4 linked regions of the Mus musculus genome follow. The protein of the gene in region 4 interacts with the protein of the main gene of each other region in a pairwise test. Links are inferred from orthologs where the notes say so. Each region holds a gene or a part of one and is shown on either strand. Other genes may lie near its edges.

Evidence for each region.
Region 1: the proteins of Camk2b (region 4) and Acot7 interact in binary tests that used the Homo sapiens proteins (3 or more experiments, as listed by UniProt). The two-hybrid records come from large-scale screens. The link is inferred for Mus musculus from reciprocal best matches to the Homo sapiens genes CAMK2B and ACOT7.
Region 2: the proteins of Camk2b (region 4) and Rap2b interact in binary tests that used the Homo sapiens proteins (3 or more experiments, as listed by UniProt). The two-hybrid records come from large-scale screens. The link is inferred for Mus musculus from reciprocal best matches to the Homo sapiens genes CAMK2B and RAP2B.
Region 3: the proteins of Camk2b (region 4) and Ccm2l interact in binary tests that used the Homo sapiens proteins (3 or more experiments, as listed by UniProt). The two-hybrid records come from large-scale screens. The link is inferred for Mus musculus from reciprocal best matches to the Homo sapiens genes CAMK2B and CCM2L.

What each region holds. Positions count from the first base shown.
Region 1 is NC_000070.6:152,216,100-152,219,599, reverse strand, and holds part of Acot7 (cytosolic acyl coenzyme A thioester hydrolase), read right to left. Parts: intron 1,865-3,500; coding exon 1,708-1,864; intron 1-1,707. UniProt on the Homo sapiens protein: Catalyzes the hydrolysis of acyl-CoAs into free fatty acids and coenzyme A (CoASH), regulating their respective intracellular levels.
Region 2 is NC_000069.6:61,361,835-61,368,289, forward strand, and holds the start of Rap2b (ras-related protein Rap-2b), read left to right. Parts: upstream 1-2,672; 5' UTR 2,673-3,222; coding exon 3,223-3,774; 3' UTR 3,775-6,455. UniProt on the Homo sapiens protein: Small GTP-binding protein which cycles between a GDP-bound inactive and a GTP-bound active form. Involved in EGFR and CHRM3 signaling pathways through stimulation of PLCE1.
Region 3 is NC_000068.7:153,074,659-153,080,208, reverse strand, and holds part of Ccm2l (cerebral cavernous malformations 2 protein-like), read right to left. Parts: exon of another isoform or gene 5,438-5,550; coding exon 5,302-5,437; intron 3,809-5,301; coding exon 3,745-3,808; intron 1,728-3,744; coding exon 1,598-1,727; intron 817-1,597; coding exon 678-816; intron 1-677.
Region 4 is NC_000077.6:6,062,022-6,068,604, reverse strand, and holds the start of Camk2b (calcium/calmodulin-dependent protein kinase type II subunit beta), read left to right. Parts: upstream 1-2,856; 5' UTR 2,857-3,066; coding exon 3,067-3,131; intron 3,132-6,583. UniProt on the Homo sapiens protein: Calcium/calmodulin-dependent protein kinase that functions autonomously after Ca(2+)/calmodulin-binding and autophosphorylation, and is involved in dendritic spine and synapse formation, neuronal plasticity and regulation of sarcoplasmic reticulum Ca(2+) transport in skeletal muscle.

The sequences.
Region 1 (3,500 bases), on a different chromosome or scaffold from region 4:
AGGCTTTGGTTGTTACAGATTAGGCAGAAATGTGATTTCTTTTAAACTATATTATTTTATGTGTGTAAATATGCATGTGTGTACACTGTGTGCACATCTGGTGCCCTTGGAGGCAGGAAGAGGGCAACAGATGCCCTGACACTGGAGTTAAGACAGATGTGAGCCACCATGTGCATCCTAGGAATCAAACCCAGGTCCTCTGTTAGGAGTAGCCAGTGCTTTTAAGCACTGAGCCATTGATATTCCCTTGGGAATCCATTCTTAAGGCAGGCCCCATACAGTTTCTGAAGCTGAAGGTTCCCACAGTGAAAAGATCTACTGGCTGGTTTCAAACAAACATGAAGACCAAGGACCCCAGGGGTGGTCAGAGGTGACAGCAACCCCAGCTAGACCCAGCAGAGGAAGGTCCATAGGACAGATGGCAAACCCTCCCTGCGCTGGCCTCTCTTCCCCTAGTGGTACATAGCTGTCCCTTCCTGTGCCATGGCCGGAGGGACACTCTAATGCCAAAGGGCCTGAGAGCAGAGCAGAGGCCTCGCAGCCTCCCAGTACATAGTGGCTGGGCTCACACAGCCCATTTGAGTCCATCCCTGCTGAAATCATTGGAATGTTCCAGATGGAGAGCTCTGTTCTTAGCCATTCCCAAAAAGACCTGAGCCCCTTAGTCAGCCCTCAGTCACCACTCCATGAGGTCACCACTCCATGAGGTCACCACTGCAGAGACCTGGGAACGGAGGAAAGAACGAAGCAGCCCAACCTGCAAGGCATATGGACCACAGGCAGAGTTGGGCAAAAGGGCCTGCGCTCCCAGCCAGGTTACAAAAGAAACATAAGCTCTTCATGGGAAGGAGCTCCACACTCATGATGCCAACAGAGAAGAGGAGAAAGGTTTCCATGGTTACCACAGCCAAGGAAAAGGTACAGATGAACCAAAGGCAATGGCTCACCCAACCTGGTTTCTAGATGGGCAGGGACAGATTGGTCCAGGAGCCTCTGCAAAGTCATACAAGCCAAGGTCTAGAATAGCGGGGTAGATACAGAGGCACAGGTGGCAGCCATTGACTAAGTGGTCTCAAGAAGGAGAGGGAGCAGGCTGGGACTCCTGTTCTGGCTGGAAGAGGGCTCAAGTGTGCTTTGTAATCCACCGGTGCTCCATCTGCCAACTGCAGACACACAGGGAGTGAAGACTCTGCTCAGGGAGCAAGAGGACCAAAGAGGTCATACAGCAAGGACGTCAGCGCCTGGGCATGGTCAGCCCTCCATGCATGAACAAGCTGTTGCCACAGTCAGCTTCGGCTACTAACTTGATACAAACAGTCACCTGGGAAGAAAAAAACCTCAACTAAAGAATTGCTGAGATCAGACTGGCCTGTGACCGTGTCTTGGCAACATCTTCTAAACTGCCGATTGATGCAGAAGAGTATACCATGCCTAGGCAGGTGGCCTCGGCTGTGTAAGAAAGGCAGCTGAGCAAGCCAGAGGGAGGGAGCCTGTAAACTGCATTCCTCCACCACCTCTGCTTCAGTATGGTCTCCCCAGTGATGGCTGTGGCCTCTAAACCAAAACAGAGCCTTTCTTCCCCAAGTTAGTTTTGGTTCATGTTTCACCACCACAACAAAAAGCGAACCAGAACACTATTGTGATCCGTGCTCAAAGATGCTACCGCTGAGCGTGCTGGCTGGTGAGAAGCACCTGGGAGTTAGTTACCTGTGAGGATGTTCTCCGACATCACGTGGACCTGGACCTCCACAGAGTGCTTGGAAGTGTAGGTGATCTCTGCACTGACATGAGCCACCTCGCCGATGCACATGGGTGACAGGAAGTCAGTGCGCTCCACCCGTGCCAGGGCAGCCACACAGCGCTCCTGCAAAGACCAGAAAAAGCCATCAGCCCAGTCCAGCCCAGCAAGTCCTTATGACAGAGATGCTCTGCAAAACTGCCTGCTTTGTTCCTCACTGTAGAATAATGGGACTGAGGGACACTTCTAGCCTAAGTTGGAGAGACACTAGAGAGTACCTCAGAGTCACTGCCATGTGCTTACCAGGACATTTCTTCTTATTTTTCTACAATCAACATGCACTGCTGCTTCACAAGGAATATTGGAAAAGCACACAGAGATAGAAAGGGGGTAGCCTCACTCCCCTTCCCAAGAGAAGCGATTAGGGCTCAGGTCGGGCTTGGCTGCCTTGCCTCTCTTCTGGCCTGCTTTAGTGTTAGGTAGTAGCTATGCACCTGCCAAATATATCTTCACAGTCGCATCTTCCTCAACAAGGAAAAGGCATCTTCCTATTGTTGCTATGTTATCTACCTTCAATGTGGTACCAGAGGGACTGGCCAGAGAGTACACAGGAACAGAACAGGTCATCTATGGAAGTGGCATTCCCAGGGCACTAGAGACTAGTAGACTCTGTCTCTCTGTCTTTTCTCTCTTCCGCCCCCCACATACACACTCTGAACCTTTAAACAGATGACCCAGTCTCATGATTCAAAATTCTAAATTATTAAAAGAGCATCTGGCACCAGGTATAGCTCCAGCCAGTTTGTCCCTGAGTCACCTGCAAGCCCTGGGTACATGGCATCAACCCACAGTGAGGCCCAGATGGTGGATGCAAGCATGGTGACTAACTGCTCTTCACCCTCAAAACCCACCCCTTGCAGTCTAATCTAGACTGTCCTACAGGCTGAGTCTTGGTCTAACCTGGACTGTCCTACAGGCTGAGTCTTTGTCTAACCTAGACTGTCCTATAGGTTGCTTCTTAGTCTGTTAGGGCTGCTGAAACAAAAATTAAGCTGGATGTAAAACTTCATCTCTCCAATTTTCAGACTAGAAGTCTGAGATAAAGACACAATGGACTCAAGTCTTGTAAAGCCCTTCTTCTGGGCTCACGGCTGAAGAGCATGATTATCAGATTAACACAAGGCCATTAGGTAGGGCCTGGGGACACACACCTGCATCCCAGCATTAAGAAAGACAGGACGACGAGGAGTGGAGGGGAAGGTTCCAAGGCAAGCCTGGGCTACACAAGGTACCTGTGTCTGAGGTCTACCTAGGGTACAAAACAAGACCTGGTCTTAAAAAGACTCAATAAATAGATAAATAAGTAGGTACTGAACCCTTCACAAAGGCTGAACACCAGTTGTGTCTTCCACACCTATTCCTGGGGACCTGGCAATTGTTTTAGTGATCAGACTGACTAGGGATCTCCATCTTGTGTTAGACACATACCAGCTTCAGTTGTGGTGTAGCATAAGCAATGCTGTAGCGATGACCTTCACACCCAACATCCTCTGCACTTCAGGGGTCAGTGTTCCGATATGCACTACCAAAGAGCCCTTAAAAGGCCAGCAGTGACCCCCACCCCCACCCCGCCAGGGCCACAGGCACCTCAGGGTGCCTTTATTGCAATTGAAGGCCCAGGACTGAAAGGGCCACGCAGTGTTTTGGAGATGCCAGTACCATGAGATGACCACCAAGAGCAGCAGCAGCAGTGGAGTACAGG
Region 2 (6,455 bases), on a different chromosome or scaffold from region 4:
AAGAAAAAGCCATCAAGCTTCGGTAGTATGGTCTACTTGTCTACATGGATATCTCTTCTAGATGGGGCTGTCCCGTTGCTCAGGCAGGGTAGTAGTTGATAAATACCTCGTGCACAATGGCTTTAATGGGTGTTACTATCTATCCACTGTCTGGTCATTATTATCTCCCTGGAATGCACCAAACTGCTGCAGAGAGCAGCCAGAACACCAAGGCTCTGACTCTGCTCACCTTTCTGCTGTAAAGAGAGGGCACTGCTGTTCAAGGTACCTAGTACTGTCCTGCGGGCAGGGCCAATTTCATAATCACTATTTTATAGATAGACAAACTAAGGTTAGGAAGCTCCCTGGACTCGTTCAATGACCCAAGCCGTCACTGAGCGAGGTCCAAAGTTTGAAATGACAGACTACACATATAAGCTGGAAGCATTTTCTTTCATGTTACTAAGAAACACACCTTTGTGAGCCCACAGCACCTCAATAAAGCACACAGCCCAACAAAGAATTATTAACTGGAGATGGGTGAGTTGGGAGTCCCCCAAAAGATCCTGGAGGTGGGCTTGGCACCACACAGAAAAATATTTCAGAGTCTCCATCCCTTGGAGCCATAATGTAGATGAGGAAGCGCCTTCCAGAGAGATGTCATCTCCACAAGAAGAGTGCAAAGCACGGTCATAGCAGAGGGTCCATCTCTGATTATATTACGAAATTCTACATGAGAAGAAAAGCTGGGGATAATTTTGTGGGAAAGCACACTAGCCCTTTGAGTGCTATACAATCAAACACCTAGGTTGTAATCCTGGCTCTGCCACTCTTAGGCAAGCTATTGAACACCTGGGAGCCTCAGTTTCTTCATCTTTAAAATGGGCATATAAGTAATTATTATTATAAGGGGTAATTGAGATAGTGCATGCAAAACACTTGGCAGGCATTAAACACTGGCAGAATGTTGGCAGGGTTCTAGCCGGCTATATTAAAGTTTTGCTTCAGAGATAATTCTCTGAAGAATTATATAAGCATAATTATATCGAAGCAGTCAGTAGTCGACCATGAAAACCCTTCCTCCACTAAAAGGCAGAGCCAAGGCAGAGAGAAAGCACTTCACCTTAGTAAGGCACAGGATTATACTGAGGTTCTGCCTGGCTCTGCTGGCAGGTACTTGCGGCTGTGGACACTCGGGGCCGCAGCCAAGAATCTGGAGCAGGTTCACTCCCAAATGGAGCCCTAAGTACCGCTGTGACTTGGAACCAAAAGCAACACTGCTCGGTTCTTCCTTCCGTGAGGACGTTTAAAGCAGAGGCTAGTGGCAGGGGGATAGCAAGCCTGGCTACTTAACCCTGGTTGACTCGACACAAAGCCGATCCCCACCCCTCTGTGCCCCCGGGCTCCCGCTGCCAGTGCAGTACACAGACAGGTCTCGACATCTCTCCTAGCAAGGATCTAGAGAGACTCGGGACAAGTCCAGGCGTCACCTCACATCGCCGTGCAACTGAGCGGAGCCAAGTCTTGAGACTGCCCTCCCCACCAAACAGAGCTTTGGGAAGAGGCAAGCCCGGGCAGCCCCACCTCCCCTGATGCCACGAACTTGCGGTGGCTCATTGCTCATCCCAGCCTTCTTCCTGCTAAGATCAAGTTAGGAACTTCAGGGTTTCTTAAAGACGGGGAGCAGCAATGAGCTCTAGTTGCTCTCTTTAAGGGACGGTCGTGACTGGGCTTAAAGAAGTCAGACTCCCTCCTGAACACCAACAAAGGACTATATTTAGTTTGGAGCACTCCACCTAAATTCCTTCTTTTCCCCTCTCAGCTTCAGATGCACAGGCCCGGGCAGTGGGTGGAAGGGGGCGGGGAGCAGTGGAGAAGGAACAGCTGGGCCTCCGCCTCTCCACTCAATCTCTATAAATAACCAATCCTGAGCGGAGGCGACTTTGCAGCCAATGAAGCTGTCTAAAGCGACAAAACCTCAGCAACAGCCAATGGAAAAACATTTGGGGGTGTGAGACTCACATCCTGGGGCCAATGAGTTGGGAGTCTGGGAGAGGTAATTTGAGCTGGCGTGTGGGTGTGCGGTGCGAAACCTTCCTACTTGCAAGCCCCAAACCTGCTCCTCCGACTGAGCATGCCCTGACTCGGTGCGGGAGCCACGGGGCTCGATCCACAAGCCATATTTTGGCTCTAACCAAAGGGGTGTTGGGGAGGGGGGAGACGTAGGATGACCCCGCAACTCTTGCCCTGAAGGCTGCAGCTCTCCACAGATTCCCAGCCCTAACTCCTTGTCCGGACAGGGACTCAGGTCGAGTTCTTCGTGGGAAACTGAGGAACACCGGGCCAAGTGGGAGCACGAACCTCTGCTACCTTCCGGGGCCTGAAAAATGCCCTGCAAGTGTACGATCCTGAGAGGCGCGCAGCAGCCTGAGTTCGGGGACAAGTGTCTATCCTTTAACAGCGCAAGCCGACGAAGAGGTCGCAGCCAGCTGCTGCCTGCTGTCCCCATAGGAGGCCGGCAGCCGCACAGCCCCGACCGAGGTGACTTCGGTTTGGCGAGCTTTCCACTTACAAGCACACACAAGCAAGACTGCCCAGTTCCAAGATTCGCGCCGCCCCGCCCTGCCCCGCCCAGCCCCTGTTTGCCACACCCTCTGTCACGCCCCCTCCCGATGCGGCGGAAAAGCTGGAGCGGAGTTCGGGCGGGGCACCGCGGGCGACGTACTGGGCATGCTCGGCTGGGCGGGGAGGGCTGGGCTGCGCGCGGCGAGTAGGAAGCCCTCGCCCAGCGGAGGCTGCGGGAGACAGAGGAGAGAGAGTGATGGGTCGCGGAGCTGGACGCACGTTCCGCGGGGACTCATGCCACGCGTGTCTCAGCCGGACGCCCAATTAGCAGCCGCCTCTGCAACCAGCCGCCACCTCCTCCCGGCCCTCCCAGGCTGCCGGGGCGAAGAGCTCCAGCCGTTGTCTTGCTCCGGCTGCGCGCATTGTCCTCAGGGTCCTCCGACAGGGCTGCTGCGGGGCCCGGGACCCGCGCCCTAGGGACGCGCCCCCGCTGCCGGTCGGCCTGGCGCGGGGCTCTGCTAGTCTGTTGGCGAGCCCGTGCTACCGGGCTAGTCTCGCCGGGGTTTTTCCTGCGAAGTTGAGGAAGGGGAGAAGTCCACCCGTCCGCCCAGCCCAGCCTTCCCCGGCGCGCAGCCCCGACGGGGCCGCGGCAGGCGCGACGAGGGCGCCGACGGAGCCATGAGAGAGTACAAAGTGGTGGTACTGGGCTCGGGCGGCGTGGGCAAGTCCGCGCTCACCGTGCAGTTCGTAACAGGTTCCTTCATCGAGAAGTACGACCCGACCATCGAGGACTTTTACCGCAAGGAGATCGAGGTGGACTCGTCGCCGTCGGTGCTGGAGATCTTGGACACCGCGGGCACGGAGCAGTTCGCCTCAATGCGGGACCTGTACATCAAGAATGGCCAGGGCTTCATTCTCGTCTACAGCCTGGTCAACCAGCAGAGCTTCCAGGACATCAAGCCCATGCGGGACCAGATCATCCGCGTGAAGCGGTACGAGCGCGTACCCATGATCCTGGTAGGCAACAAGGTGGACTTGGAGGGTGAACGTGAGGTCTCCTATGGCGAGGGTAAGGCCCTGGCCGAGGAGTGGAGCTGCCCCTTCATGGAGACATCGGCCAAAAACAAAGCCTCAGTGGATGAGCTATTCGCAGAGATCGTGAGGCAGATGAACTACGCGGCACAGCCCAACGGCGACGAGGGCTGCTGCTCGGCCTGCGTGATCCTGTGAGGCGCCGTCTGCCGCCGGGCGCTGGCCACGCTCTGTGCACAAAGCCAAACGCACCCGATTCTCTTAATGTGATTGTCTTCTTGCTTTGAGATTGGAGACGACTTTGTTGTCTTGGCTGGGATGTCCGAGGAACCTGGCTGACTTGTGTAGCCAGCATCCCCAGCCTTCAGCCAGGGTCTGAGAGGGTGTACGTTGCAGAGCATCTGAGACCCCGGTGGAAAAATGGCTCTATACAGCGTGTACGTTCCTCGTTGATTTTGGTTCATGCATATTTCCCCGTTTAAATAGCCATTAAGGCTCTGTATTGGCTGCTTGACACCGGCAAGCAAAAGTTTCAAACCTGAAAAAAAAAAAATGGGGGTGGCGAAGCAGAGGAAGTGAAGGGGAAGGAGGCAGTGGGGGAGGGTTCCCCTGAGCAACTGTTCATAGTTCCAAGTTTTAACACAAGGAAAGAGGTCCAAGAAAATCATATGAAGGAGCCAGAAGAGGGGACGAAACTTTTTTTCCTTGTTTTCCAGGATTATTTAGAAATTAAGACCAGGGGTTCCTTTTCTGCCAGCTTGGAAGGGCAACCCAGGGACTGATTACGATTCTGAGGATGTCTATGCAAAGTTGGGTTCTTGTTACAGTGTATCCAATCTGAAGTATTGCACATGTGAACTGGGACTGTTTAACACTGATGCCAATACAGTGTGGGGTGCCAGGAAGTGTCTGCTGATATTTGTGGGGAAAAAAAATCTATTTTGATTACCTACTGTATCAAAGGGGAGTCTGGGGGGAGAATGGTAGTATTTTTTTTTAATCAGCTGTGAAAAATGTTACAAATCTGCACATTTTTTGTGTGTGCTATTGTGTGTGTGTGTGTGTATGAGTGTAAGTATAGCTTTTTTTTTTTTTTTTTTTTTTTTTTGTGGTTGGCAGTGACAGATTTTGCTGACTAGCTTTTAAAAATACAATACAAAGACTTCGTAAATGTGATTCAGGGCGCCCAGCACCCCTGTGTCTGCAGAGTGCCTTCAAACTCAGCTGTTCCAGCCGGTGCCAACCTGTGAATTCCCACCATGTCCCAGAATCTGCTGTTCTGCTTTCCCCAAAACTACTTTAAGCATCTTCCTGAAAGAGCCAGGATGAATAGGACCTGTTATTCCGTGAATTGCTTCATTAATTTTAGCTTTTTTTTTCAATGTTAAGTCCATAAGTCTTGAATTTTTTCCCCCTTCATTTTGTTCTAATTTCAGGTTTTAGCTCTCCTTTTCTGTTGTTTTCGAAATGTCTGTTATCTGTTACAGGGTGTTCCTCCAGAGGCAAAGAGCAAAATTTTATTGTGATGTACCAAAAGAATTTTAACAAGTTGTAACTTTTAATTCCACTCATTTAGTCACTGTCTCTTCATTTTAAGACTTTTAATACAACTGTCATTTTTAAAGAAACCCCAAACTATTTGTGGTTTTGTGTTTCATATTCAGTGATTTACAGTCTCCGTGAATATGGTGCCAGGCGGGGAGGTGGATCGGGCCAGGTCCATGATGCCTTTTGAGTTATGTGTCAAAATTTGAAGATAGGATTATTTCTATGAAAAATTGGGTAACAATGTTTCCAAGTCTTTAAAAGTGGAGAAAAGTATCAAGGCCTAAGACTCACAGGGTATGGCCAGGGCATCTGACTGTCCAGATGAGGAAGCACTGCTCTGCTGAAGAAGAGTAATGAACTTTACTGTTGATAGCAAAGGGGCAAGTCCCCCCCTCCCCGACTCCCCCCCCACCCCCAGCTAGTAACACCCTCTTAGGCCTGGGAAAGCAAAGTGGACCTGGCAGAATAACTAACAGGGGCACTTTCTATTTGTCTTGGTTTGATGTTGTCTGTTTATGTCCCACACCGAGTCAGAAGTGATCTTAACTTTGATCTCACACACCCTGCCCTCTACAACGTATGGATGGAATACAATTATTCTAGCCGTTATTTCAACCCTTCCAAAGTTTTTATTTGGAACCAAATCAAAGATTGAGAACAAAAAGTAAACAAGACGAAGAGGATTCCCTTGCTCTCCTTCTATTTGCCCACAACAGTTTTTAAAAGTAGGAGGCAATGTGTGTTGGTGTTTTATTTGTATTTTGCTTGGGCTCTCCAGTACAATAATCTTTACAGAATAACAAAGTATCTATAAGATATAATACCACAGGTTCCTGAGGCAAAGCTGATGTCTGAAGAGTCTTAACTAAGGAATTTACTCCCTTGGCAAAGCCAAAAGAGATCACAGGTTTCTTTAAAGCTATAACAATATATATTGCCTTAATTTTTTTTTTTCTCCATCCAAGTTGCATCTCATCATTTCGTGGGCAGGAAGAACATTTTGCCTGTCCTGGCCTTTGTTTATTCTCCAACTCGGATCTCACATCTCCATTAGTGTCAGATGTGATTCTGCTTCCAAGTATACAAATTGAAAAATAATGTTTTTACAAGAATTCATTCTTAACATTTGAACGAGTGTATTTGCTTAGGTCGATGAAAGTGTTGCACATTTAAAGTGTTGACGCATTTTGAAGATGTGTCAAGCACTGTTGGAGGGGTTGCTTTTTAAAAAAATGCTTATGGTGGCCCTCTTCTCATGATTTGGAAGGCTTTGAACAAAAGTGTTGCCAAGTATATAGCTCAGAAAATACTTGAAGGTGGACAGTGATCTA
Region 3 (5,550 bases), on a different chromosome or scaffold from region 4:
AGTATTCCTATGGTGCTTAGCAACCCTCTTCACTAGCTGTGTGACTCCAGACAAGTTGCTTTGCCCCTCTGAGGCTGAGATAGGCCCTCTCCCTTTCCTCCCTCCCCCTCTCCTCCCCCTCCCCCTCCCCTCCCTCTCCCCCCATCTCCGCCTCCTCCCCACCCCCTCCCCCTCTCCCCCTCCCTCTCTCCCTCTCCCTCTCTCCCTCTCCCCCTCCCCCCTCTCCCCCCCTCTCCCCCTCTCCCCCTCTCCCCCTCTCCCCCCTCTCCCTCTCTCCTCTCCCTCTCCTCCCTCTCTCCCTCTCCCCCCTCTCCCTCCTCCTATCTCCCTCTCCCTCTCTCCCTCTCCCTCTCGCTCTCCCTCTCCCCCTCCCCTCCCTCCCCCTCTCCCCTCCCCCTCCCTCCCTCCCTCTCTCTCCCTCTCTCCCCCCTCCCCCTCCCCCCCCCCTGTGTGTGTGTGTGTGATCACAGCCTAACCAGCTTTGCTACTCTAGGGCTCTGCTCCTGCCAGTTTGAGCATTGCCACCTCCTGGCGATCCTATTCCCTTTTCTGCACTCTTTCTTGCTCTCCTCAGGTCCAGGTTCTCAAAGTCTTGGGCTTTAGGGGCTCAGAAAACAAAGTGCTCCCAGGTGGTGCCTAGCTGGGAATGCCTGGAGCCAAGGGGGAGTGGGGCTTACCAATGAGAAGGAACTTCCGTCGGTCCCCATAGAGTTTCTGCAGACCTGCACAGTAGTCCTGGATAGGCAGCCCCAGACGATAGTCTCGTAGCAGCAATGCAAACTGCTGGATCTCAGGAGGACCCAGCTTACTCCGCAGCTGTGGGAGTGAAGGATACCCCTTGGGGACCAGATCCAGACTGCAACACCACCTGACTTCTGCTAAAAATGCTGAGGTTCTTTCTGGCATTCTGTCAGGCCCAGCCTGCCTGCAAAATCTTCCACTGCCTACTGGAGGGTCAACATCTGGTCCTTTGCATCTCAGAATGGTGTGGTGGTTTGTATAAGCTTAGCCCAGGGAGTGGCATTATTAGAAGGTATGGCCTTGTTGGAGTAGGTGTGTCACTGTAGGTGTGGGCTTTAAGACCCTCAACCTAGCTGCCTGGAAGTCAGTATTCTGCTAGCAGCCTTCAGATGAAGGTTCAGAACTCTCAGCTCCTCCTGCACCATGCCTGCCTGGATGCTGCCATGCTCCCGCTTTGATGATAATGGACTGAACCTCTGAACCTGTAAGCCAGCCCCAACTAAATGTTGTCCTTATAAGAGTTGCCTTGGTCATGGTGTCCGTTCACAGCAGTAAAACAAATGGAATATGGGTCCAGCTTCCTGAGTCCCAATCCTTTGGTGACCTCCTCTGTGGTGGCAGGATGTCATTATCTCTCTGACCCTTGCTTTCCTTCTCTGTATTTGGGGTGAGGAGGGAGCCTCCCTCTTGAGGTTGCTGAAGAGATGAAAGACAAGATGCAGGAGAGGTGCCCAAGACATTCAGTGCAGGCTGACACCAGTCCAGGCTTCTCTAAGCTGGCCTCTCCTGGTCACACCTCCTTCCCTGATCTCTGAGCCATGCTTGCTGCGGAGCTCTGCCGCCCACTCATGCTCACCGTGACCATGTAATCCTGTAGCTGCTCGAAGGCCCAGCTGCTGTGGTCGATACTGCTGCAGTGGGAGCCGTGGAAAGACGGTGTGGATGCGCCACTGTAGCACGCTTCAAATGTGTCCTGGGAGCCATTGCTGCACAGAAAGGATGGAAGTAGCCTCACCAACCTCTGCTCCTTTCCCTAGGGAGGCTAAAGGTGGTTGGGCCTCTATACCAGTGCTCAAGGCTATCCAGACCTCGTCTTGCTCATCAAAGCCCAGCAACCTTTCAAGTCCCTTCCTGCTCTGGGCACTCGGGTCACCTTTCCTTACCCCATCCTGGGCCTTTGCACACGCCGCTCCCTCTGCCTGGAATTCTTTCTCCGCCACTGTCTCTCTCACGTCTGATGTCACAGCCACAGGACCTCTACCTGCTTATTCTGAATTCTCACTGTTCCCCTCTGCATGGAATGACCTGTCCCCTTTATTTCCAGCTCAGCTGTTGTCAGGAAGCCCTCCTGGTTCCTGGATAAGGTAGAGTCCCCTTCTGACTCTCCCATAGCCCAGGAAGCTCCTTGTCAGTGTGGCGTCATCACTGCTGGCTGCCACCTCTGCTGAATTGTGTGGCCCTTCTCCTTTCTCTCTGCTGAGTTCTTTTTTATAAACTAGGCTGCCCGGATCATCGTGGAGGGTTTTGTTTTTTGATAGGGTCTCACATGTCCTAGAATGGTCTTAAGCTCTCTATGTAGCAGAGATTAGCCTTGACCTTCTGATCCTCCTGCTTCCAACCTCCCAGGGCTGACGTTGTTGCATGAACCACCCAGCCAGGTTTATGCAGTGACAGGGAGGGTTGGAATGAAAGCCTCTGATATCCTAGGCAAACACTCTCTTATCTCTGGATCACCCCCAGCCCAATGTAGGAAGTTCTCATTATTCACTACTTTTAAAATAAGATGACCTCACTGGGCTTGGGCTTTGAACTTTTAACACTCTGACTTCCACCTCCAGAAGTCTGGGAACACAGACCTAGCAAGGGCGTAGACTCCTGAGTTCGCATTCCAGCCTGCTTCTGCTCACAAGCCAAGTCTGTCTGACCCTTGGGATGCTAAACTTTGTTTCCCTAATCTTCAGCTTCTCCATCTGTAAAATGGGATGATGAAGATTGGTGTCACTGTGAAAAATGACAGGAACTAACGTTTGTCAAGCACTTCAGACTGTAGAGCCCACGTAACAGATAACTAGCCACACAGCAGCTAACAAAAGCCAATGATACACAATCACATGGCAAGCTCAGCGAATGGGTCCTTAGTGTGATTCTGCTCACCTCTGCTAAATCAGGTCAGTTATGGGCTAGTTTATACACACATGGGTTCGGGAATACAAATGTAGTGCCAATATCAACATTGGTATGGTAGGGCACAGGCCACTGGCAGGGGCCACTACTTGCCAACATCAGAATCTTTACAGGACCAGGATAACTCCCTACCACAGGCCTGCTGAGGGTTTTATTGGATTTAAACTGAAAATCCCATATCTTGGGAAACTCCTCAATCCTGAGCAAACGGGGATGGGCAATGTTTCTAACAGAATTGTTTTTAAAACATTTTGAGGGAGGTTTCATATATCCCAGGTTTGTCTTGAACTCATTATGTAGCCAGCGGTGACTCTCTGGTCCTCTTGCTTCTACCTTCTGAATGTAGACATGACAGGTGTGCATCAGGGTATGCAGTGCTGGGGATTGAACCAGGGCTTTGTGCATGGCAGGGGAAGTACTCTACCAGCTGAGCTACACCCCGAGCCTGCAGAAGCCTGCAGTCTTGCTTGCAGCTAGTTCTGACCAAGCCGCCAAAATTTGACTACTAAAATCTAAGCTTGATGGTGAGTGTGTGTGTGTGTGTGTGTGTGTGCACATGCTGTAGGGATGGAACCCAGGGCTTTTCATACAGTGAACATGCATGGTGATGCTGTAGTATTCTCTGATCTCCATCCTCCCTAAAGTCATTTAAGAGGCCACTGGTGTGCTGTTGCATGGTTGGAGCTACAGCTTGGACATGAGGCCACTCTGAGGATGGTGAAGAAGAAGCTGTGACTGGAAGAAAGGCAAATCATGCTTGTAGGAGTTCGGGAGGGGCTGAGGAGAGGAACTGGTGTCCCAGACAGAGCTGATACTCACAAGGAGCTGCAGCAGCTCAAGTCGGCATCATAGGCAAACGTCCCGTCCGTACGACAGCTCTCACCTGGGACCAGCAGACAGGAGAACTGTCAGAGGTGACATGCAGGCTCCAATATCCCAGGCTCCCTGCACCCCTTGGCCTTGGCAGCACCCTGGGATCTAGTTCTGGTCAAGCCCTGACACATAGCTAACCTCAGGCAACTGACCTCCCTAATCCTCGCCTTCCTCAGTGCCAAGGTCCATAGCAGCTGACAAATAAATGAGAGGCAGTGGGAGAGTGTTGGTAAATGTGTGTTTGTGTGCACATGCTGTAGGGATGGAACCTGGGGCTTATGCAATCAAGGGTTGGAATTAAACCCTTCATTGGTCTCCACAAGGCCAGTGACACAGCTGCTGGGGCTGCGCAAACAGAGACCACTCCAGAGCAGGCTGTGGGGGAGGGAATTGATGTAATGTCTGTGAGGGGAGCAGAGAGAGGGGGGGGAGGGGGAGGGGAGGGGAGGGGAGGGGGAGGGGGAGAGATGCAGACAGAAGCTTTGGAACTTAGACACACTGAGCTTGGATTCTGACTCTGACCTACCAACCATGTGACCTGTGACTACTTGAGCCTCAATGCTTACTATCTGTAAAACTAGATTCACGGGACATCAGAGAGGCTCTTCTACCCCCTCCCCCTTTTCTCAATGTAGCCCTGGCTGGACTGGAACTTGCAGTAGATCAGGTTGGTGTTGACCTCAGAGATCTTTTTGCCTCTGCTTCCCAAGTGCTGAGATGAAAGATGTATATCACCACCATGCACAGATCTTTTTTCTTCTTTTTAAAGATAAAGTTTCTCCACTGCAGCTCAGGCTGACCTGAAACTCGGATCCTTCTGCCTCATCGTCCCAAAAGCTTGGGACTATTAACTAATGTGCTTAGGTCTGAGTTTGCACGTGCCATGGTGCCCATGTGGAGGTCGTGGGGGAAACTTTTGAAACTCAGTTGTCAAGGTTGGCAGCAAGCCCCTTTCCCCACTGAGCCAGCTCACCTGCCTGGGGACTGAGCAGTTTTCATTTCTCTGAAGACTACTTCTCTAGCATCTGTGAGGTGTCCACGTCTGTGCTAAGTGAATGTGAAAGGTAAGATGCCATAAAGACTCAAGAAGACTTGGCATCTGGCTATTGTGCTTGGCATATAACTGGCACTCAACAAATGTCCCTGTTAGTCTCACTTTAATTCCAACCCTTGATTGCATACATGGACTAATCTGGAAATGTCAGCCCTAGGAATCTCATGGGGTGAGATGGCTCAGCTAGCCGACAGTACACATGCTGAACTTTCTGCAAAGCAGGGACACCCAAAACAAGAGAGACGTTCAAGTGCCTAAGTTCAAACTCATCCCAAACTTGACAACCTGAGCATCAGGTCATCGCTAAAGAGGTCATCAAGAAGAATGACATTCTATCAAGTGGACCCCTAGACCCGGGGTCCAGCTCAGAACTCCCAAAGGCCTTCATCAGCTCTGACTATCAGGACATGCAGCCTCTCCCAGTGCTTTGTGGGAGTTTAGATACGCACTGCAGCTGGAGAGCCATGGCCGCTTTGGTGTGGATCTGTAGTGGTAGCCGGCCCGGTCTACACACTCGATGCTCTGGTCCCCGTAGATGATCTGGAAGACTTGACAGATGAGCGCACAGGATTCCTCAGCGGCATCCTGGTCCAGGGGCAGGAGGAGAGCTCAGGCTCTTACTTGCCCCTCCCCCCCAGGACATGCCTATGTCCTCAGATGCAGCGTGAGCCAGTGCTAACAACCACACCATAAGCCAA
Region 4 (6,583 bases):
GGTGGGGCTGGAAGGCGGGGGGGGGGGGGGGAAGAGGTTGGATGAGGGAGGAGTCTGCGCCTCTGATCCAGAGCTGAAGCCCCATGCGAAGGCTTCTGGGGTTCAAGAGCAGAAAAAGTCACAGCTGGAAACCTTTCTCCCTCCCAACCTAGTCATTCCGCTAGGGAGGAATCCGCTGGGTCTGAGGTAGAGTGTGGGCTGTGCTGTCTGGGCAAGGATAGCCTGCGTGCGGCGCCGAGCCATGCCGCGCCGGCAGGCGGGCGGCAGCTCACCTCCTCCCATTGTGTAACGCTGGATCCTCTGCCTTTCCTGGCCCAGCCAGGTGACTCCAAGTGTTGCCTCTAATGCTTCGGTCTGGAGGAGGGGCTTCGGGGAAGTCCAGGTGCTCACAGTAACAGAGTAGGGGGAGAGGCCTGGGACACAGTGGGCTTCAAACTGCACTCTTTAGTGACTGCAAAACCGTGTGTAGCACGGCCTACCCAGTTTTGAAAGGTGACAACAAAAGAGTACCCTGAGTGTTGCTGTGACCTCACCCGGTGTGTACATTTGTGTGTTTTGTGTACATGTGTATTGTGTGCTTATGTGCTTGTTTTTGTATATGCATATTTGCATATGTATGTTCATGGATTTTTTTTTTTTTTTTTCTGAGACAGGGTTTCTCTGTGTGGCCCCTGGCTGTCCTGGAATCCAGGCTGGCCTCAAACTCAGAGATCATCTGCTTCTGCTTCCCCAGTGCAGGGATTGAAGGCGTGTGCCACCAACCACTTGGCTGTGTGTATCTTTGTTTGTGTGAAAATAAAGGTGGAGGTGGGAGGGCTTTATGGACAGTCCCAACCACTCCTCTTTTTTGTGACTTTATTTTTATCTTATGAATGTGTGTATATGTATGTGCTCGTGTGCACACATAAGAAGTGTAGACCAGAGGTCAATGCCTGTCTTCCTTGGTCACTTTCCAACTCTATTTTTTATTTGAAACAGGGTTTTTCACTGAAACTGGAGCTTGCCAATCTAGCTAAACTGGCTGGCCAGTAAGCCCCAGGAATCTTCCACTGTCCTTCCCTAGTGCTGGAACCACAGGCTTGTGCTTTCTCACATCCGTTCTGGAGATCGAACTTGGGTCCTTGGCTTGCACAACAAGCCTTCCCTCCAGCTCCCACACTCCTTTCCCGAGTGCTGGTGGAAGGGTGTGTGACTTGGTAGCCTAAAGACAGCCTAACTCCTGGAGGGGTGCAATTGGGTTTCGTTTGTTTTGCTAATTATATTCTGCTGTTCAGCCCTGCCTCCTTCTCCCACCAAAGCTCAGAAAGAGCCAATGCAGCTGCCCTCAGCAGCACTATGGGAGGCGACATCAGCCCCAAGAGCAAGCCTGGCCTACACCCTCACCCCACTCTTCCCGTGCCCATCGCATGGCCCAGCAGCGCATGGTCCAGCGTCCCCATCTAAACTCATACTTTTGGGGGGGCACAGTAGAGTTTCCCTTTCTGCTTGGGGCCAGGGTTCCTATTTTCTCAGCCAGACACTTGTAACTGGGACCTGCACTTGCCCATGCCTGTCTCTTGTTTGCTAGCTGTTTGCTTTCTGGTGGGGCTAGGTCTGTACAGGGACTTGCCAGGAGGCCTAGCTTCCCCTGGCAGCACTCTGTCAAATGTACCTTTAGGAAGACCTCTAGTAGCTGCCCAGCAGAGACCCCTCATTCTCCTAAGAAGACACTTGCTAGACTAAGAAGATCCTGCAGTCCAGGGCTAGTCTTTGGTTGAGATCTGAGTCCATCAAATCTGCTCTTGGGGATCAGTAAGTGGGAAGAATCCAGAAGATCGCCGAACAGTGCCGCCCAAACTGGCTGCAAAGTCCCCCCAGAGGGGCCTGGCTCCAAACACCAAGAGTCAAATCGGGGATGCTGGTTGGGGGTGAGGAGGGGGCCTTGTGGAAATCCACCTGTGCCCCTGGGGGCCTGGCTCCAAACACCAAGAGTCAAATCGGGGATGCTGGTTGGGGGTGAGGAGGGGGCCTTGTGGAAATCCACCTGTGCCCTCCTTCTTCAGGGCCACTTTCAAGAGACTGGAAAGAATGGAGGCTCCTTTTCCTGGCCAGGGCAGAGGGAAAGGGCTGCCCAGGCTATCTGGGCAGGATGGCTGTGAGCTCTCAGAAGTCACAGGAGTCCCTGAAAGAGCTGAGCAGCCCACGTTTTGCTGCCTCAATCTGCACTCCGAATGTTCACCACAGGCAGAAGACATCCTAGTTGCCAGTCCTAGGAGAAGCAGGGAGAGACTCGGGACCACCTCCCTATCCATTTTCTCTCATCCCATTCAGCCTAGGAGACTCGTGGGCAGCTCTGCCACGAATAGGAAGGTGGGAAGGGTCTTATGAGGGGTATGGGGAATGGAGGAGCCCAGTGGAGGGCGACTCCCAAATGGGGTGCAGTTCCCTCCTGCAGTCTAGGGGAGGTGGGCCTTTAGGGGATAAGAGTCTGGGTTCACTGTTCAACTGCGGCAGCAGAAGAGTCAGCCCATTGGCTTGTCCGTGCAGGGCGCGGGCCTAGAGGGTCAGACGCAGTGCGTGGGCACCGTGTGGTGCAGCCCATGTGCTGGGATAGGGCGCGAGCACGGGTGGGATTGCATGGTGCGGGCGCAGTGCGGGTGCCGGCGCGGGCGCGACGGGCATGCGAGGGGAGCCGCGGTGCGGGTGCAGGGTGCGGGCGCAGTGCGCGTGCAGGCGCGGGCGCTAGTGCAGGTACAAGGCGCGGGTGCGGTGAGTGTGCGGGTGCAGGCGTGTGTACGGTGCGAGTGAGGCGCGTGCAAGGGGCGGCGGGCGGGGCGGGCGCGGCGGCGACAGCGGCGCCCGCGCCTCTGCGCGCGTAGGTGTGCGGCGCGCTCCTGGCGGGGACAGAGCGAGCAGATCTCGCGTGCGCTCGCCGCCCGGCGCAGCCCAGCCCGGCCCCCGCCCGGCGCCGCGAGCCGAGGTGTCTCCCGCGCCCGCGCCCGTGTCGCCGCCGTGCCCGCGAGCGGGAGCCGGAGTCGCCGCCGCCCGAGCGCAGCCGAGCGCACGCCGAGCCCGATCGCCACCGCCATGGCCACCACGGTGACCTGCACCCGTTTCACCGACGAGTACCAGCTATACGAGGATATTGGCAAGTAAGAGCCTCGGCGCGCGCGGGCTGTCCGCAGACCCCGGGGAGCAGGGACCCCATCGCCGCCCGCCTCGCGCGCACTGCGGCCCCGCGCGCCCCCGGCTCCTTCCAGCTGCGGGCCCAAGCGCACAGCCCCGTGCAGCCCCGACCCCCGTGCCTTGGGTTCTGGGCCCCGCTCCTCCACCGCAGTGCTTACGGCCCTGCCGGGTGCCATAGCTTAGCGGGGACCGGGACTCAGGGACATGGACGCGGCGCGGCGGGGGCGGCAGCAGGTGTCCCCCGAGCGCCGGGCAGACGTGACGCATTTGGCGGCGGGGAGGTCAGAGAGGAGCGGCACCCGGGGGCGGCTGCCAGGCCTAGAGTGCCCGAGGGGTCGGTCATGGCCTCAGGGGGTCGTCTCCGGTGTGGGCACGCTGTCCTCACCCCCACCCGAGAGGCGGGCGGCAGCGGTAGCGGACCCGCTCCGCGCCTGCTCCTCGCGTGGCCCCATCTGCTTTGGGGGAGCAGCGTGGGAGCAGCTTCTGCCTTGGGTCCCTTGGGGAATCTGGGTTCTAGAGGATTTTCCCCCCAGATTCTTCTGGAAACAAGAACTTGGAGGGGGTGGACGAGGTCAGAGAGCCAGGATCAGGCCGTGGAGTGGGGGTGGGGGTGAGAGAGTGAGGAGAGAGAGACAGGGAACCAGTTGGGCCTCTGATTTCAGGGTCATCGAGGCAGAGAGAGGCTGGCTTCTGGACCTTTTTTTTTTTTTTCCTCCTGTGGTGGGAGGGCTGAGGGGAGGGACTCTAAAGGCGTATTTCTAGTAGGGCCTCGTGGGGAACAGGTGCCCTGGCGCCAAGACGCTGCTCCGCAGTACAAGCAATATGGGGGTGAAGCTATGATTGTGAACGTCCAGACCTGGCTTTGTCCTAGGGTCTCAGAAACAGCGAAGCCCCTCAGGGGCCTGGGGCTTCCCTCTGTGATTTAAGGTGACTGCAGGGGCATCCTTAGGTGCTGGCTGCTTAACTCCAGAGCTGGATCTTCCTTCCCACTCCCTCTCCCCTCCCCCATCCGTCTTGTGCCGTGGGGGCGCTGGCGAGATTTCCTCTTACACATCCAGCCGCAAATCCTTTTTTTCCCTTTACTGAAAAAGCGTCTGAAAGCTTGTGGTGGGCGAGGGACGCTGATCACTGATAATTGTGGAGTGCCCCGCTGGAGGAGTGTGGGGGTGTGTGCATTCCCCACTCCTTCCTGCACGTGCCAACAGGATTTGGGTCAGGTCTTGGGGGGCGGGGGTGAGGAGCCAAGTGGAGTGACAGGAGGAAGTCTATACTGGATGGGAAGGAACAAGGCTGGGTGGACCCGGACAGCCATCCCAGCCTGGAGAGCTCAGCGCCCTTTCAGCGCTGTGCCTCACGCTTGCAGGCGTTGAAGAACCTTCCAGTAGCCTGTGGGGGCATGCTCTGTGAGGAAGAGGTGGTGGGCTGGGGAGTCCTCAGGTGGAGCTAAGGCAGCCTCGGGGTTATGGGGGCCAGCCCTGCAGCTCACAGATCCTCTGATGCCTCGAAGAGCTCTTCCGAGCCAGGTTCATCCCCCCACAGCTGTGTGCTGCCAGGGCAGGTGGCAGCAGTGGGAAGCCTCTCCTTCCTAGGGAACCTTCTTGTCACCTTCTCCTGTATGCCCAGGGGCTTGTCTCCCACCCTAGGCCTCTTGGTATCTTCTGAGCAGTCCACATGAGGAGCCCGTAACCTACAGACCACCTAGGTGGGCTAGTTTTCCCCGTTGGTGGGCGCTGTCCTGGGCCGAGCAGCAACATAAGGTGGCCAGCAGCACCCCCGCTGGGGAACGGCCGCTGGAGGGTGACATTTGCGGTAGACACCAGTGAGGGCTGTCACTACCAGCTCCTTCCTAGGCACAAAAGAATGGCCACTCACCCAAGTGTGGGGAGGCTCCTCAGGTGCTGGGGTGGAGGAGACACTCCAGTCAGGGACAGTCAGCTCAGCCCAGCATATCTTGGTGGAGCCTGCTAGGTGCCAGTCCCCAGGAATGGGCAAGGAAGGATGAAGGGGATGGGACCCTCAAGATACACTGTGGGAACTCAGCTCCCCCAGTAGCCATGTTGGCCATGATCACTAGTGGTTGCTGGTGCCTGCCTACAGCACAGTTGGTACTACTTCAGGGCCCCAGGTAGACACATCCAAGTTTATTTAAAGCTGTCGCCCCTGGCACCGGGTCAGGAGATGCTGAAGTCCCCTGCTTGGCCGGAGGGCTGCACCCAGGCCCACAGCTGCTCTTGGTTCTCTAGTGGCAGCTTTGGACTTTCCCCTCAGGCCCGGGCAGCAGATGGGGTGTCTGAGGAGAATGGCTCTCGGGGGTCCAGCCCTCGAGGCACCTCAATGTGTGTCTTTCTTTGTAGCTAGTTCTTGCCTCGTGGTTCATGTGCTGGGTTGCGGACACGCTGTGAACTCAGGGCCCCAGGAGAAAGCACAGTGCAAAGTGGGGGACACCATCAGTCTATGTGGACCAGCCTTGGTGTGGTTTAAATGATCTCCTATTGGATGCGTTTGAAAACCTCAGAGACCCCAGGAGCGATAACCAGTGGTGTCTCTTCTACCCAGAACTAAAACGGAGTCATCGTTTTACCTCAGTCCTGTCTCAAAATTATAGCAAGTAATTACTACAAATAAATACTAAAGAGCCCATTTTCTTCTGTCTCTTTGTCGCACTTGCACAGACACAAAGATCCCTATCAACACTAGGATTCTTCCCCATTTTCTTGTAACTTTGTAAGATTCCAGAACTGTGCTCTTGGTCAGGATAGTCTTGCAGACACACAAGGTGCTGACAGGCAGCGGCCCTGACTGCCACATGGTGATCGTGGCACGAGCACCACGTATCTATCACCCACCCTGTTCCTTACGGAGAGCTAGGCTGCCTCCTAGTCTCTCTGGTCACATGACCAATGCTGTGCGCATGTTGACTGGCACACGAGTGAGATTTGCTTTGGTGTTTGTCACTGGTGGTAGGGTTTACACATGGCAACGCTTGCCCACTTCCACTGGCTGTGAGCCCAATGCACTGGCCCTGCCTTTGGCAGGTACGAAATGATAGTGGGTGCAAAATGATTGAAAGTTCTGCGTTAACGCATGTGAATTTTCCACTTTTAGAGAGTGGTTGTCTTAATAAAATATAGGTGGTCTCCTTAGAGACTTCCGTAAGTTTTGTATATAATTTAGGGTTCATGGACACTCCTACTTTGGGGGAGAGAGCATGGGCGCCTTGGCTTTGGTATTCTTATAGTAGTGCCTAAGGTTACTCACTACCTGACCAAGCTTGGGCTGTGGAGATCACCTTTGACCTTCAGCCCAGAGAGTTCCCGCCATTCTGGGCCCTGCCCCCATGGGCCTAGACCTGACCTTAAGTGTCCTTGGCGCCATCTCCCATCCCCAGCCACCATCCAGAGCAGGTGCTGCCCACTGT